Arabidopsis thaliana: one gene and its partners. The protein of the gene in region 1 interacts with the protein of each later gene in a pairwise test. Each region holds a gene or a part of one and is shown in the gene's direction. Other genes may lie near its edges.

What was found. The genes of interacting proteins can lie anywhere in the genome.
Region 2: the proteins of ERL1 (region 1) and AT1G63110 interact in a protein complementation assay, tested with the Arabidopsis thaliana proteins (one large-scale study listed by BioGRID).
Region 3: the proteins of ERL1 (region 1) and AT2G16030 interact in a protein complementation assay, tested with the Arabidopsis thaliana proteins (one large-scale study listed by BioGRID).

What each region holds. Positions count from the first base shown.
Region 1 is NC_003076.8:24,994,221-25,002,176, forward strand, and holds the start of ERL1 (ERECTA-like 1), read left to right. Parts: upstream 1-1,915; 5' UTR 1,916-2,212; coding exon 2,213-2,300; intron 2,301-2,868; coding exon 2,869-3,007; intron 3,008-3,113; coding exon 3,114-3,185; intron 3,186-3,281; coding exon 3,282-3,353; intron 3,354-3,433; coding exon 3,434-3,505; intron 3,506-3,621; coding exon 3,622-3,693; intron 3,694-3,788; coding exon 3,789-3,860; intron 3,861-3,951; coding exon 3,952-4,023; intron 4,024-4,135; coding exon 4,136-4,207; intron 4,208-4,284; coding exon 4,285-4,353; intron 4,354-4,438; coding exon 4,439-4,510; intron 4,511-4,597; coding exon 4,598-4,669; intron 4,670-4,761; coding exon 4,762-4,833; intron 4,834-4,922; coding exon 4,923-4,994; intron 4,995-5,090; coding exon 5,091-5,162; intron 5,163-5,247; coding exon 5,248-5,319; intron 5,320-5,398; coding exon 5,399-5,470; intron 5,471-5,556; coding exon 5,557-5,628; intron 5,629-5,712; coding exon 5,713-5,784; intron 5,785-5,858; and 16 more. UniProt on the Arabidopsis thaliana protein: Receptor kinase that regulates inflorescence architecture and organ shape as well as stomatal patterning, including density and clustering, together with ER and ERL2. Redundantly involved with ER in procambial development regulation.
Region 2 is NC_003070.9:23,402,731-23,408,644, forward strand, and holds AT1G63110 (GPI transamidase subunit PIG-U), read left to right. Parts: upstream 1-1,957; 5' UTR 1,958-2,139; coding exon 2,140-2,293; exon of another isoform or gene 2,294-2,382; coding exon 2,383-2,430; intron 2,431-2,507; coding exon 2,508-2,568; intron 2,569-2,682; coding exon 2,683-2,715; intron 2,716-2,907; coding exon 2,908-3,032; intron 3,033-3,147; coding exon 3,148-3,282; intron 3,283-3,362; coding exon 3,363-3,439; intron 3,440-3,517; coding exon 3,518-3,774; intron 3,775-3,939; coding exon 3,940-3,996; intron 3,997-4,099; coding exon 4,100-4,268; intron 4,269-4,373; coding exon 4,374-4,431; intron 4,432-4,505; coding exon 4,506-4,591; intron 4,592-4,685; coding exon 4,686-4,742; intron 4,743-4,934; coding exon 4,935-5,027; 3' UTR 5,028-5,389; downstream 5,390-5,914. Other genes in the region: AT1G63105 (uncharacterized protein), read left to right, coding at 1,411-1,779.
Region 3 is NC_003071.7:6,973,148-6,976,787, reverse strand, and holds AT2G16030 (S-adenosyl-L-methionine-dependent methyltransferases superfamily protein), read left to right. Parts: upstream 1-1,780; 5' UTR 1,781-1,896; coding exon 1,897-2,592; 3' UTR 2,593-3,115; downstream 3,116-3,640. Other genes in the region: AT2G16040 (hAT dimerization domain-containing protein / transposase-like protein), read right to left, coding at 1-35, 465-771; AT2G16020 (uncharacterized protein), read right to left, coding at 3,202-3,432; AT2G16019 (uncharacterized protein), read right to left, coding at 3,506-3,616; AT2G16018 (uncharacterized protein), read left to right, coding at 3,270-3,640.

The sequences.
Region 1 (7,956 bases):
GTATCGGTAGAAATGCACCGAGGTGCTACAGAGATTAATGCTAGGGATAGTCAGACCGCTTGTATTTCTGACTATCAAGTAAATCTACGCCCAACTCACATATTTCCCAAACAAATGTGATTTTTTTTTTTTTTTTTTTTTTTTTTTTTTTTTTTGTAACAAATGTGATTTTGTTTTCAAGGAAAATAGAACTTACGTTTGGGAATTTCACCCTTCACTAAAGCTTCCTTCTGCCATTAGACCACAAAGGCTTGGGCAATTTACCATTTTTGTAAAAGTAGAAAACAAAATGCCTAAAATGTTCATACTTCATTACATCAACAAGGTTATGCCCACGATATAGAGGCATGTAACATTTATATATATAGTGGAAGAAGCCTACGAGCTTTATTAATAAGTATAAACTCTGATTATTAGGTAAATAAATTACTTAAAACGATTACTCAACTGACAAAACCGTAGTTGAATAATAAGGTTACTATGAATACCGATTGAATATTGCAAAGCCGGAATTGAAAAATATATAACAGATCAAATGTTCAAGTGTGGTCATAATTCTCACATAGGTCATATAGCTGAACCCATGCATCTATTTACTAGTCTATAGAAAGTACTAGAGACGCATACAGCTGAACCTACTCTATTCTTTTATTAATTTTGGTTCTCGTGGATACAAAATTCCTCCAACATTTATTAGAACGAATAAAACCAATATGATGATGATTAGTTATTGGTAAACATATAAACGTTGAGTAAACTTCAAAATAGATTGAAGTACTATTAAGACTTGCATTTTTTCCCCTTGGGTTATATTCTTGAATCGTTTCGAAGTATTTTAACTTTCAAGAATAGAAGGTTCCTCAACTATAAACAATTACATTAATCAAAACCATTTCTATGTAAACAACATAATTTTTGTATATTTTAGTCTTCCCCAAAAGTTTGACCGATAGGGCGGTTTAGACCGTATAGTACGACTGTACAACAAAAAGGACTCTGGAGACCTAAAGATCCAAAACTATGCAAAATAAAGATACGGTCGGACCAATTTAATCTAACAAAACCAAATCCTTATACTAAACTATTTACCGATACATTTCCATATAACACAGTACACACAATTAAATCAAACATTATTGGAAGAACAAGATAGAATATTGGCTTAATCTCGAACGATTAGAGTTATCCTAGAGCCTCGGAGCTTTTGTCACATATAATATAAACTATGGTATATATAAACATGACTCTCATTTGTATTTATCGCAAGGTACAATTCCACCAATTTTTTTCGTCCCACTCATACAGCTTTAATTGTGAAATCAATCCATAAAAAACCAACATGTGACATGGTCTCTATAACTATAACTATAAGATAGTAAAAAATTCACATCAACATAAAAGAAAACCAATCATATTGGCTAAAAAAAACTAACGGTCGAAAAACGTATAACCACAAAACCAAACCGGTCCAACCGGTGTCCCCAATCACTATCAAAGCATTAACTAACTTTCACAAGGAAAAGCATAGTTCAGTTTCTCTACATCGCTTCCCATCCTCTTAACCCTGTTTACTCGAATCATCCACCGTTGGATCAAACACGCGCTACAAATCTAGCGCGTGACCGAGGTTTTTACACAGTGGAATATTACCATGCATTGGAAAGCGGCGTCTACAACAAACGGCGGGTCATGTCACCGTCAAAATCAACCTTTCTTAATTCCTAACGCCGTTACTTATCTCCGTTTACTAAAAATGTTAATGCGTGTGAGAGTGAAGATCATATACTAATTAGAAGTGGCTAATGTTTTAACGTGACATTATTATCATAGTTAATGGTTCGATCAGAGTTTTAAGTAGTAAATGATATAAGTGTGTGTATATAATTGCATACATATATACTCTCACACTCTGACAGATTTGTCGTGGTCTTAGTATTCTCTTTCATGGCTAGTTATATAGGGCTCTAGTACATTATCTCTCTCTCCCCATTTCTCTGTCTCTCTCTTCTTTAACATCTCTGGCTCTGCATTTCTTGCAGTTCACGCTAATCACCTGTTTTGGTACCCTTTTCTCTCTGCAACAATGGCAGAACAAGCCTGAAGTTTCGTTCTTTTGTGTTTTGGTTTCCTCTGCTTTGTTGTTATTGAATCAAAACTTCAACGAGCTTCTTGGCTTATTACCCCAAAAGGAAAGAAGAATAAGAAGAAAAAAATGAAGGAGAAGATGCAGCGAATGGTTTTATCTTTAGCAATGGTGGGTTTTATGGTTTTTGGTGTTGCTTCGGCTATGAACAACGAAGGTTTGTTTCTTCTAACTCTTTTGTTTTTGTCTTTTTTCTTGTGATCTCTGTTTAAAATTTTGATTATGTGCTTCAAAAATTAGGGTTTAGTTAGGTATATCTCCTTAAACCCATTCTCTGATTTTTTCTGAAAGTTTGAATCTAAAATCGTCTGTGTTAGAAGTTATCATGACATATAATCTTTGGTTTATGTCAAACATTTGGTTTCCCCATAAAAAGAGAGTTAAAGTTGAAAGCTTTTTCATACCCAATACTTAGCTCTGGCTTGTTCTTCATCAAATGCATATAAAGATGCAATCTTTTCTCCATTTCCCAAGAAATTTGATCATGATTAGTACACAGAGAATGCCTGTTCCTGTACCATGGAAAGTTTGTGTTTTTTTCAAGCTGTTTCCCGAGAAAAAAACGAAGCTTAATCCCTAGTGTCCTGGAGAGAAAGGACATGAAATTTACAAAAATTCCTTAGTTTTGGTTTATGTATATTTAACTATGTGACTGATGTTCCGCGTTTCAAATGATTTATTACTAATCCTAGTTGAGTCTGTTTATGAATTTTGAAAACCCACAGGGAAAGCTCTGATGGCGATAAAAGGCTCTTTCAGCAACTTAGTGAATATGCTTTTGGATTGGGACGATGTTCACAACAGTGACTTGTGTTCTTGGCGAGGTGTTTTCTGCGACAACGTTAGCTACTCCGTTGTCTCTCTGTAAGAATCTTATTTGAGTTCAATAATAATTCTTGTGTTGTTGAAAAATGTCTCTCTTTTGTGGTCTTGTAATATTCTGCTTTTTTTCTATTTTTACTTTGTGAAGGAATTTGTCCAGTCTGAATCTTGGAGGGGAGATATCTCCAGCTATTGGAGACCTACGGAATTTGCAATCAATGTAATGGTTTTTTTTCCCTTTCTTTCTCTGTTGATTTGCATGTTTGAACTTTGAAATGTTGTAGCTTTTGTTCATAAAGGCTTTTTCCAATTGCAGAGACTTGCAAGGTAATAAACTAGCAGGTCAAATTCCAGATGAGATTGGAAACTGTGCTTCTCTTGTTTATCTGTAAGTCTTATTAAACTTGTTTTTTTGAGTTTTCAATTTTCATGTCTTTAGTTTTGACGTCCATATCCTCTGTTGTACAGGGATTTGTCCGAGAATCTGTTATATGGAGACATACCTTTCTCAATCTCTAAACTCAAGCAGCTTGAAACTCTGTATGTGTTATACTTCAACATTTTGTTTTTCCGATTCAAAGTTCAAATTTTGTCTACTTGTTCTTTTTTTTTTTCGAGTGGATTTTTGTGAACCTTTGAACTTGTGGATGTATCAGGAATCTGAAGAACAATCAGCTCACAGGTCCTGTACCAGCAACCTTAACCCAGATTCCAAACCTTAAGAGACTGTGAGTTCTTTAGTTACATCATTTACTCATGAATCAAAATTTGGGAATAGATTTTGAACTTACTCATTTTCTTTTTTCCAATCATGATGTTGCAGTGATCTTGCTGGCAATCATCTAACGGGTGAGATATCGAGATTGCTTTACTGGAATGAAGTTTTGCAGTATCTGTAAGTTCGTCAGAGTCATTTTCTCTGATCTCAATATAGTCTACACCATAGAAGAAGTTAATTTTCTCCTTCTAATACTTTCTTTCTGCAGTGGATTACGAGGGAATATGTTGACTGGAACGTTATCTTCTGATATGTGTCAGCTAACCGGTTTGTGGTACTTGTAAGTGGATCCAACGCTCTGCCATCTTTTGAGTCTTGTATAGATCCTGGTCCTTCTTTGATTCATTCAAGTCTTGAGTTATATTTTTTAACTTGTGTTTTGTTGTTGGAAGTGATGTGAGAGGAAATAATCTAACTGGAACCATCCCGGAGAGCATCGGAAATTGCACAAGCTTTCAAATCCTGTATGTGCCATCTTAAATTAAACATTAGACTTCCACTATAGGAGTGAATTTTGGACTCATACCTTTTGATATTACAGGGACATATCTTATAATCAGATAACAGGAGAGATTCCTTACAATATCGGCTTCCTCCAAGTTGCTACTCTGTGAGTATTGAGCCTCTTTTACCTTAGTTTCATCAGTAAATTGTTAACATGCGGTTATTGAATTGTGTATTATTACTTTTTGAAGGTCACTTCAAGGAAACAGATTGACGGGTAGAATTCCAGAAGTTATTGGTCTAATGCAGGCTCTTGCTGTTTTGTAAGTTCAATTCATATGGAAAAGTAACGACAAAGTACATTCTTGAATTTGGCTCGTCTGACTTTGTGAATCCTATTCAATTCACAGGGATTTGAGTGACAATGAGCTTGTTGGTCCTATCCCACCGATACTTGGCAATCTCTCATTTACCGGAAAGTTGTGAGTCTTTTTTGTATAACTGTAGTATCTCATATGTTCAGCTAATCAGCTCTTGGCATATGCATTGATACCTTTTTTTTTTGTTGAAATAGGTATCTCCATGGCAATATGCTCACTGGTCCAATCCCCTCTGAGCTTGGGAATATGTCACGTCTCAGCTATTTGTAAGCTTGTTTTAAACTTCAAATCTGTTTACATAGCTTTCGCATTCCATATACTTATCTATTTTGCTTTTCTTTTACCGATTTTGAAGGCAGCTAAACGACAATAAACTAGTGGGAACTATTCCACCTGAGCTTGGAAAGCTGGAGCAATTGTTTGAACTGTGAGTTTCTTTTCCTTGCTCTAAAGTTTTTCACTTTAGCTGTTGAAGCATTACATTTGATCCTTGTTTTTACTGATCCATTTTTTGACATGAAAGGAATCTTGCCAACAACCGTTTAGTAGGGCCCATACCATCCAACATTAGTTCATGTGCAGCCTTGAATCAATTGTAAGCTATAAGATAGTTCATTTTGAATTCATGCTTTACTCTTCTTATTCACAAACCTAAATTCTGCTGCTCTACTTGAATTCAGCAATGTTCATGGGAACCTCTTGAGTGGATCTATTCCACTGGCGTTTCGCAATCTCGGGAGCTTGACTTATCTGTGAGTTTCATTCAATACAATGCTGTAACATTGCTTCCCTCTAAACATTATAGTGACTGTTGAATCCTTTTGGATGCAGGAATCTTTCGTCGAACAATTTCAAGGGAAAAATACCAGTTGAGCTTGGACATATAATCAATCTTGACAAACTGTATGTCTTCTCAACTTTGTTACATCGTTTGGTTTTATGTTTCAGTTTGAATTTGCTGCAAACTCATCATATGTTTTTGTTTCCAGAGATCTGTCTGGCAATAACTTCTCAGGGTCTATACCATTAACGCTTGGCGATCTTGAACACCTTCTCATATTGTAAGTCTTTTACACTTAAAGTTGTAAATTTGTAAATGTTTTTCTTGTGTTTGTTAACTTTTAATCTTTTGCTTCATTAAACAGAAATCTTAGCAGAAACCATCTTAGTGGACAATTACCTGCAGAGTTTGGGAACCTTCGAAGCATTCAGATGATGTAAAGCTTATAGTTGCTTCTTTTGGTTATATCAAAATCATATTTTTTTTCTGACTTATCTGTTTTACTTGTAGTGATGTATCATTCAATCTGCTCTCCGGAGTTATTCCAACTGAACTTGGCCAATTGCAGAATTTAAACTCTTTGTAAGTTAATAATATGATCTTATCATTTGTATTATATACAAAATAGATGTATGGTTTGATCTTTATGTTTATGTACAGAATATTGAACAACAACAAGCTTCATGGGAAAATTCCAGATCAGCTTACGAACTGCTTCACTCTTGTCAATCTGTAAGTTCTTCTGCAAGAGATACTTGCTTATGAGCAATATTAGCCCTTTGGAAGATTTGTGAATCCAACATTTTCTTCTTCTTTCTTCGAAAACGTTTTAGGAATGTCTCCTTCAACAATCTCTCCGGGATAGTCCCACCAATGAAAAACTTCTCACGTTTTGCTCCAGCCAGGTATGAAGCTTCTCTCAGTAGTCTGTCATTATGATCAATACGCATAAGCTTTCATTGTAAAACTAAATTCATAACCTCTGTATAGCTTTGTTGGAAATCCATATCTTTGTGGAAACTGGGTTGGATCTATTTGTGGTCCTTTACCGAAATCTCGAGGTATCTACTAGATTTATCCATTAAGCATTTTCTTCAATAGATGTTTTTTCTTGTTTATTTGAGCTTGCTTTTCTTGTTCTTTTCAGTATTCTCCAGAGGTGCTTTGATCTGCATTGTTCTTGGCGTCATCACTCTCCTATGTATGATTTTCCTTGCAGTTTACAAATCAATGCAGCAGAAGAAGATTCTACAAGGCTCCTCAAAACAAGCTGAAGGTAATGATGATGCCTTCATACTTCTTCATAACTCATATTCTGTTCTTATATGACAATATCAATCTTTACCGATTCTCAGGGTTAACCAAGCTAGTGATTCTCCACATGGACATGGCAATTCATACATTTGATGATATCATGAGAGTGACTGAGAATCTTAACGAAAAGTTTATAATTGGATATGGTGCTTCTAGCACGGTATACAAATGTGCATTAAAAAGTTCCCGACCTATTGCCATTAAGCGACTCTACAATCAGTATCCGCATAACTTGCGGGAATTTGAGACAGAACTTGAGACCATTGGGAGCATTAGGCACAGAAACATAGTCAGCTTGCATGGATATGCCTTGTCTCCTACTGGCAACCTTCTTTTCTATGACTACATGGAAAATGGATCACTTTGGGACCTTCTTCATGGTAAGTTCTTCTAACTTTTTTTGGTTCAATTTGTGAAAGATTGATTTGCAGATAAACGGTAAAAATGTTTTGATTTTTATTTTCTTGAAAAGGGTCATTGAAGAAAGTGAAGCTTGATTGGGAGACAAGGTTGAAGATAGCGGTTGGAGCTGCACAAGGACTAGCCTATCTTCACCACGATTGTACTCCTCGAATCATTCACCGTGACATCAAGTCATCGAACATACTTCTTGATGAGAATTTCGAAGCACATTTATCTGATTTCGGGATTGCTAAGAGCATACCAGCTAGCAAAACCCATGCCTCGACTTATGTTTTGGGAACAATTGGTTATATAGACCCAGAGTATGCTCGTACTTCACGAATCAATGAGAAATCCGATATATACAGCTTCGGTATTGTTCTTCTTGAGCTTCTCACTGGGAAGAAAGCAGTGGATAACGAAGCTAACTTGCATCAACTGGTATATGAATCAAGAATCACTATAGATTATGATCTTTGAACCTTAAAAGAGTTAACGTTTTTTTTTTTTATGTTGCAGATATTGTCAAAGGCTGATGATAATACTGTGATGGAAGCAGTTGATCCAGAGGTTACTGTGACTTGTATGGACTTGGGACATATCAGGAAGACATTTCAGCTGGCTCTCTTATGCACAAAGCGAAACCCTTTAGAGAGACCCACAATGCTTGAAGTCTCTAGGGTTCTGCTCTCTCTTGTCCCATCTCTGCAAGTAGCAAAGAAGCTACCTTCTCTTGATCACTCAACCAAAAAGCTGCAGCAAGAGAATGAAGTTAGGAATCCTGATGCAGAAGCATCTCAATGGTTTGTTCAGTTCCGTGAAGTCATCTCCAAAAGTAGCATATAAGAGAAAGATTCCAGGGCTTTTGTTTAGTTTCTTGTGTCCTAAGGAA
Region 2 (5,914 bases), on another chromosome or scaffold:
TTCATGGAACATACCAGAAATCGAAACTAAGCATCAATTTTTTTTTATTGAAACTTGTGTAAAATTGCATTCACAAGAAATTAGAGTTTCTGGCCTTCCTAGAGTTTCTTGAATTGCGTTAACAAAAAATTAGAGGTTCCGGCATTGCTTCCACACTAGGTTAAGGTTCAACAAAATTCGCAACCAAAGAATAGCTATGAAACAAATAAGCAAGATTTCACAAACATAAAGAGCTTACAAAATTTCAAAACTAATGGGCTTTACTAGCAAATATAATGGGCTTTTTAATAAACCTTTTTTTAATAAGCCTATTAATAAAGATGGGCAAAATGTGTTTCTTTTTGTATCAAAATGTTGTCTAATTTTACTGATAAATAAGAATAAGAAATAGGGTAAATATTTGGAAACTATTTAGAAATACATTTTAATCTAATGGTAATGATTAATTCAAGATGTATATAATTTCTAGTATCTTTTCCCTAATAATTGATATTTTTCATTCATTAACACTAGGACCTTTTAGGTTTAACATCTTAAAACTCTATCTTAAGATGTTTAGATAAGTATTTGGGTTGTAATGATTTTCTAGGAAACACTAAAATAGTATGAACATAATCTAGTTAATCACTAGACTAAAAATCAAATCTGAATCTATGTACAAAATCTAAACTATACACATAAAAGTAGATATTAACATATATATTAATGAATAATATATAATTATATATAGATACACTTAGCACAAATATACACATATATTTATTTTGGATTGTTATCATGTGCTCTGTAAGAAATCATGCTACAATATACAGATGATATAACAGGATAAGAGCTATATTAATAGAGAACTTTGCATAAAAGTCGTTATCCAAAAAAAGAAAATAAACTTTGCATGAAAGCTAAACCAAATGCAAATAAGAAAATAATTGTATCTTAAAAGGATTGTTCTTAAACGATATAAAGGTACATAATTCCCTCCCACGTTAACCATTCATTGTGCATTGTGGAATTCCATTTGTATAATTAGTTTTGAATTAGATCATTCATTTCCTTTGAGTTTGATGAATAAAAAGTAAGAAAAAAACACTAAGCTTGGGAGGGTGGCTTAATTAAGCGTGTACACATAAACTATACTTTGTTAAAAAAAAATTGGGAGGTTGATTATGACTTATGAGCGAATAAAGCACTTTTGCGATAGTTATTGAACTTGCTAATCAAGTTGTTAAACGTGTGTATATATATAGGATGTGCATCATCACAATTCTCTCTAGCTAGCTCTTATTCGTATTATATAAAAAACTCAATAACTCTTTTTTGTTTTTGGTTCTTAAGATGCAATCTATTTATACAGAGATAAACACCAAAGCCAAGAAAGCAAGGACGAATGTAGACTATTTCTATACAGCTTACATGAAAGCCACTAACACAGATTTGGGAGACGAAGCGTTTAAAGCCGTGACAAACCCGATCCTTTCACAAATGGAGGAAATCATCAACACAGCTAAACATGTTGCATATCGCGTGGGAGTTATACGAAGTACAAATTCAGATCCTAATTTTCTTCGAGATCTTGACGAGGTAGACAAGATGGGGGATGATGTCTTTGAGAAATCAAAAACTGCCCTAGACATAATGCGAAAAGCGGTTGTTGATGCAAAGGAAAGGAAGAAAGCTAGAGATGAAGCAATAAAGGAAGAAGAAGAAGCAAGGAAAGAGGAAGTAAAGAAGAAAGCAAAGAACGAAGCAGGAGAGAGCAGTTCACACAACGTACCAACGTAATTAAGTAAACATAAAAAGTTAATAAGCACATAAGTATTTAACGAAGCATAATATATGTATTTAGTGTTCTCTTCAAAATTACAACAAGATAAAAAAGTAAATATATGATTATTCTTCATATGATATTTTACATTGGAAAAATGTTTATCACACAAACACGAAACCGAAATGCATCAAACAAAAACCGAACCGAACCGATATAGAGTTACATTAATCAAACCGAATTATAAATGGATCATAAACCGAAAAAATCAAACCGGAACCAAACCTTAACAAGATCATATCAAATACGTCGTCGTTTCATCTGAGTCGTCTCTCTTCACTCGCCGGAGAGAGAGAAGAAGAAAAGACGACGGAGAAATGGCGGAGGAGCAGAAAATGAAGCAGCTAAGCCGATTCTGGATTTGGGCTTTATCTTCCATTGCTTTCCGATTGATCTTGATCTCCTTCCCGGGAAATCTCAATCTCTCTTCCCGTCCGGAGGTCTCTACCCCTCTCACCAGCATTCGCCGCCGTATCTCCTCTCTCTTTCTCACTCCCTCATTAGCTCTCTAAGATCTCGAATTCAGCTCACATTTCTTCGTTTTGTATGAACATTTTCAGTTGCTGAAGGTTATTGGTTGAAGCAGGCATCGATGTCACCATATGCAGGTCTATCTTAAGATTTGATCCTCTGTAAATTTGGATTCTTAGGCTATTAGAAGCTGAAGTTGTACATATTTGAGCAGGATCTATGTATCATGGCTCACCATTGCTGCTCTCGGTTCTTGGACCTCTCACAGTTCAAAGGTAGTGACTAATCGATTTTGATATTAGGATTTGTGATTTATTGAGCTTGAATCATATGAAAACATGATTTTTTCCCACTTGAGTTTTATTGGAAGACAATTTGTGTGTTTGCAGGATTAAAGGGCAACCAAGTCACCTCTTGTGCAGGTACTTTTCAGTGTCCCTTCATTTCTGTGATCACATGTTTTTTCTTTCTTCTCAGATTTGAGCTAGCTTAAAATCTTAGGTAGGATTAGATTGTGAGATGTGAATTTGGAAAAGAGATGATCTTTGAATGATTTACTATTCATCAAGAGCTTTATAGTCATGTCGTTGCTACCAACATTCTCTTGGATACAGCTTGGTTTTTGTTATTGCAGATATATTAAGTGCAATGCTTCTTCGAGCTATTGGTCAGAAACTCCAGATGGCTTATGGACTGAATGCGAGACTACTTGGTTTTCTTAAGTCATCAAGGGATAAAGGTAGATTGAAGTCAGTTGTTGAATTTTGTGTATCATCTATCTTATTTCTACTCTTTTCTTGTAACTATTTACTTGAAGGCAAATATTGATCTCTCCTTTTTCGTTGTCTCCTCAGTGATCCTACCTTGTGGTGATATTGCTGCTCTTGTGTATTTGTGGAATCCTTTCACGATAGTTTCTTGTGTGGGCTTATCAACTTCTCCCATCGAAAACCTGGCTGTCATATTGGCGCTTTTTGGAGCAGTTACACGTAAGAAGATGATGATACTTGCATATTGTTTGTTCAATAGTTTCTTGAAATTTTATAACTGATGTTTTCTACCCATGCAGGACGAGTTCCTCTGGCAGCATTTGGCTTAGTCATTGCCACACATTTATCTCTTTATCCTGCTACTCTGACAATTCCAGTATGTATCATTTCTTATTTTATGTTTTTCACGTTTCTCAAATTAAACAAATTCTAACTGCTCGTGCATTTCCCACAGATAATCTTTCTATTGGGATATGGTTTGGATGCTCCTCCTATAAAATTGTTCCTTCAGACCAGAAGTGTAGAAAATGAGGAGAGTTCAACCTCTACTGTTTCTAAACAAGCCAAGTTGAAACAGACTACGCACCTTCCTTTCTTATGGAAAACAGTCGCACACTTCTTGTTCTGGGTACTTCTGTGGTCACTCTATGTGTTGATTTTATGTGCCTTATCACTGAATAAATATGGTGGGCTTGAGGAGATGTTCAAGAGGTAGCCTCTAACTTAGAAATCTTATTCATAACCGCTATAGGATTAGTTTCCGTTAGCCATATTATATCTATAACTTATATTCCAAATCATATAATTATTTATTAAGAACTTGCAACGTAGTGTTTAGGCGATTTGATGTTTGTTTGTCTTTGCCTCCTATTGTAGGACGTATGGTTTCATTCTTAGTATTGAAGATCTTTCACCAAACATTGGAGTCTTTTGGTAAGTAAAATAAATTAATATGGTGATATCATTGGGTGATGAATAAGGGATCCCTTCTTTTATGAAAAGACTATTTACTGTTCGTTTTAAATCTCGTTTTCAGGTACTTCTTTGCAGAAGTATTCGACTTCTTCAGAAACTTTTTTCTGATAGTTTTACACGTAAATATTCTGTTCATGTTACTGCCCTTAGCCATAAGGTTGAAACATCGGCCATGTTTCCTGGCTTTCATATACTTAGCGATCTCCTCGATTCTTAAATCTTATCCTTCAGTAAGTAGTTGAATTCACTGTGAACTTGAAGTTATCTTTTCTTCTTTGAGGAATTATATTCATAAATGTTAACAATGCTTTCATCATTTGATTTACTCTCAATAGGTCGGAGATTCGGCGTTATACTTGAGCTTATGGGCATTGTTTGTCAATGAGTTATTAGGTAAAAGCAAATACTTCACATCCTCTTAGCATTGTTTAGCCTTTGCATATAAACTCTGCTTCTGTTTCACATAGATATGAAGTTCTCGTTCTTCCTCTTCTGTGGATATCTCGGGATCTCTCTCCTCAGCCCTGTGATGCACAATCTCTGGATATGGCGGGTAAGCTTCTACTCAAATCCATAACCCAACTCTTCACAGCAGTTGCAACAAAATGTTCTAATGATCACAACTACCTTTGATTTTTTCATGACAGGGAACCGGAAATGCAAATTTCTACTTTGGAAACGCTATCGGCTACGCGTGCTTTCAGGTAAAATATAGGCCTGGATCCATTTCAAAATTCATTATTCTATTCAGTAGTTGGGAGTTGATACTCATATAGTACAAAATTTGATGATATCAAGCAGAGGATGATGAGATCATCAGTTATTGATCAAAGAATGTTGTAGTTTTGGGTTATCTTGACTAAAACCCGCATACGGGTTTCTGCTTTTCTTTACAGATCGTTTTCGTGGTTGAGAGCGTAAGCGCAATGCTAAACCATGACAGGGCGCTGAAGAGATCAAACTCAAACCATCGAGAAGTCAAGAGCTAAGCCATTGAAGGTCATTGCGCCACTTTTCTGTTACACGTAAAGAAAAGAGTTGGGTCTTTAGCTTAAAGTTGGCAACATGTGATTTGTGTGAGTAGCTTTTCTTTGTTTGAGAACATCATATAAATAACAAATCTCCTGTGCCTTTCCGTTTAGAGTAACCATTAATTTGTACTTTTTACCGAGAGGTTTTAAAGTTCTTGTTTTGATCCGCAAAGCACACAATCATCCCTATATTTGAAGTTACATCGCATGTATACAAGGTATTATCATTTGTGAATGGTGGATGATTAAAGGCATTGTCTATGTCCCGTACTTTATCCTTATCCACTGCACCATTAAGGCCTAAATGACACAGTGCAGGAAGGTTATTGGGTGGTGTTTGGTCATTGTTTTCTTAAAAGTCACCCATTCACAATAAATGAAGTGTGATGCATTATTAATTTATTTGTAATATCATAAAAACTTGTAAAACCCACGTGGTACCAAAAACAAAAATCAGACCCTAACCGTATAACTGTATTTCACACTGTTGAAAATATATGTTCAATTCGATCTTGTGACATCTGAAATCTCCTAAAAATTATGCATATATTGCATGAAGCTGATGTATGCATGATTGCATATCTTGGTATTATATATTGTATTGATGGCGTGTGGTGATGGAATTTCATGGCGTTTGGTGATGGAATGCGGTTGTGTATCGGAGCTGACTTCAGCAAAGTTCAAACTTCAAACTGCAGTTTTCCTTCATAGCTCAGTCACAAAATACAGTTTGAAACTACTCCTTTTTCATCTGTTAAGTTAAGACAACTAATGGTTCTTGATTTTGTAATTTTGTTTCTTGGATTTCATCAGATGGGAAGAAACTAGTGGAGGAAATATACTTC
Region 3 (3,640 bases), on another chromosome or scaffold:
AACATCACTCCGGTGTCCTGGATTATCAGTGTATTCTGCCAAATAAAAAAGTGCATCTTGTATCTGTATCTTTGAAGCTTAATATCTTATTGGTTTAAGACTATCAATGCGGCTTTCCCAACGCGTTTGAGACAACGGTTTAAGTGTAATACCATTCACTGTTTCTCTAAACACTTCCCAATTGTTGGTTGAAGCTTCAAACAGACAATGTATTCGCTGAACAATTCCAAAAAAAGAAACAGCTTTCTTGGATGATGAAGCCATATCACAAAGTGCAAGGTTAAGACCATGGCATCCACATGGAGTGTAAAATGCTCTTGGATTTATATCAAGCAACCTTTTCTGAACTCCTTTATGTTTTCTCTTCATATTTTGTCAGTTGTCGTATGCTTGTCATCTTACATCATCAATATTCAACTTAAGATCAATCAATGCATCTTGAAGAGTCTTAAAAAGCCCCTCACCCCTCTTATCTTTGATGTGTAGAAACGTCAAGAAGAACTCCTCAATCTTAGGTGAACACGTTGAAACATCCACACATCGAATTAAGAAGGTCATTTGTTCTTTACGACTAACATCCGGAATGGAATCAAGAATGACTGAAAAATACTTCGCATCTTTAATCTTCTTTAAGATCATCATCTTGGTATCATTAGCAAGTAATTCTGTCAATTCATTCTGACTCTTATGACTGGGAAAATGGCAATGAATTTCACCTTTATTAGCCCGCCGAATGTGTTCCTTCATATCCGAATTAAAACCTCCAATCATTCTAATAAATGCCAAAATATTTCCACTATTTGGATCATCAACATTCTCTTTAGTTCCACAAAATGCTAAATTTTGTTTAGCTAGAGTCTTTACCACTGCAATTATTCTCACCAATACATCTCTCCAATGTTTTTTCTCCTTCTTAATTGCCTATTCCATATGGTTATCAATTGTTTTACTCTTTTGTAATCTCACTTCTAGCTCCATCCAATGAGTCATGGAAATAATATGACGATGAGTTGTTTCATGTCTTTTCAGCCTTTGCGCAGCATTTTTCCAGTCATTATACCCACTACTTGCTAACAATGTAGGATTTGTTTCTTGATCGAATAATTAGAGAGAAATTCGATCCGCTGATTTTTGAGGAATATTTGAATTTTGATTCTAAAAATAAGTGAATTCGAGTTTTGGTGACAAAGCAGCGCATTTGTTAGCTGATTGTATTTTGATTATTGATGCTATATAGACATAGATTTGTGCGAAAATTGAGGAACAAGAGAGAAATTTGATCCGCTAATTTTTGAGGAAGATTTGAATTTCGATTCTAAAAATAGATGGATTAGATCTGCAGCGTTTGTTAGTTGAATGTGTTTCGATTATTGATGCTAAATATACATAGATTTGTGCCAAAATGAGGAATTAGAGAGAAATTCGATCCGCTAATTTTTGAGGAATATTTGAATTTTGTTTTTAAAAATAGATGGATTCGAGTTTTGGTAACAATCGGCGGTGTTTGTTAGTTGATTGTGTTTTAATTATTGATGCTAAATAGACATAGATTTGTGTAAAAATTGAGGAACTGAGAGAAATTTGATTTGCTAATTTTTGAGGAATATTTGAATTTTAATTCCAAAAATAGATGGATTCGAGTTTTGATAACAATTCGCAGCGTTTGTTAGTTGACCATGTTTCGATTAATTATACTAAATCGACATAGATTTGTGGAAAATTGAGGAAATAGAGAGAAATTCGATCCGCTAATCTTATATGAATATTTGAATTTCGTTCCAAAAATAGATTATTTAGAGTTTTGGTAACAATCAACGGCGTTTGTTAGGTGATTGTGTTTTTATTATTGATGTTATATAAACATAGATATTTTGATCGGAGTTTTGATCGGCGACGATGGAGAGAAACGTCGAGAAGATGCTGAAGAGAGTATCAATAGTGTTCTTAAGCATCGGAACAGTATTAATGGTAATTATGATTCTCCAGACACCAAAAACTTGTATTTCTCCAGAAGCTCCATCGAAACCTCATACGCATTTCCCGAGATCTACATGCGATTCATCGCCTCGTCAGCATCTTCCTCTCCCAAAGAAGAACGCTCGAATCTGGTCCTCTGGAGCTTGGAAATCTCGTCTATACTCCTTCTCTACCTACTTCCTCCGATTTCGCGATCTCGGATTCATTCAAAATCACACCAAAGCTCTCTGTCTCTCCGCCGGAGCAGGCCATGCTCTGATGGCTCTTTCTCAGATCGGATTATCTGATGTTACCGCAGTTGAATTGGTTGATTCGATTCCTCTTGTGAAAAGAGCTGATCCTCATAACCTTCCGTTTTTCGACGGTGTCTTTGATTTTGCCTTCACTGCACATCTAGCTGAAGCTCTGTTTCCGTGGCAGTTTGTGGAGGAGATGGAGAGGACGGTGAGACGTGGCGGATTTTGTGTGGTTTCGGTTGATGAATGTGGTGGAGATGATGTAAGAGACATTGCTAGGCTTTTTCATAACTCCAAGGTCGTTGATGTTGCTAATGTAACCTTAGAAGGATCCAAAAAGACTAGTATACTATTCAAAGTTCAAGACTCTCCTACCTGAGGTGTTTTATTTCTCTTTTGATTTATAGGCCCTTTCCGGATTCTCAGAAAACTGCTTCAATATTCATAGAGTGGAGCTAGATTTGTTTCTGTTGAAATTCACTTACATGTTTGAAAAGCAGGAGATTTAACAGATTATGTGGTAACATTGTTCAAAGACCATGACCATATTTGTTCTGGATCCTAAAGCAATGTTTTGTTGAGGGAAGCTGCGATGTTTGTTGCGAGTTCAAGATCCAGAACAAAAGCTTTCTACAGGTTAATATCTTTTTTTTTGGAAGTTGGTCTCTGAGCTAAACAATTCTTAGGAACCTTGGTCGCTTTTGAAACAAGTAAAGAACTTTCAACAGCTTTTGAAGACTTTAGTGTGTGATGAAAGAAAGTACTTTCTTTCCAGGTGAGGTTCACGTTTCAATCTGTTAGAGCTCTCCTGTGTACTATTTGTGAGTTAAGTAAAATACTCTTTAGTCATTTTGTATACTTAGAAAGAACAAAATTCTTATTGGTGAATAAAAGGCTCTTACTAAAAAAAAAAAAAAAAAAAAAAAAAAATTTTCTCTCAAGCAAGATAACCAAGGTAGCCGCAAGCCTTGTTCGTGATTAGTTCTCTTCACCGGCGTTGCTCCTCTGACTGCCTGCGTTCCTGATTGTAGCTACTACTAAAGTGAGATCTCTCCAATGAATCTACTTTTCCGGTGGCGTAATTGTTTTCCGGCGAGTCTTTCACTTGAAATGACTTTCCTTTTTCTCTCGAATGCGAGCCACTCTCGTCGCTTACCGTCGTCTTCGGTCGCCTTCCTCCTTCTGAGGCCACCTTGTGCACCACCACCAGAGCCTCCATCTCCGCCGACTCCACCGGAACCACCGGATCCACCAGATTCTCAGATCTGCTTCACTTTTGCTGATTCTTATGCTCAGTCGTTGAGCTCCTCTTCCCTCCCAGATTTGGTCTCGCTCATTCTCCATATCTCCTCCGCCATATCTGAATCTCCGTCACCGACCTCTTCGATCACTGATTTTTTCATTGATGTTTTCCTTCTCGCCGACGA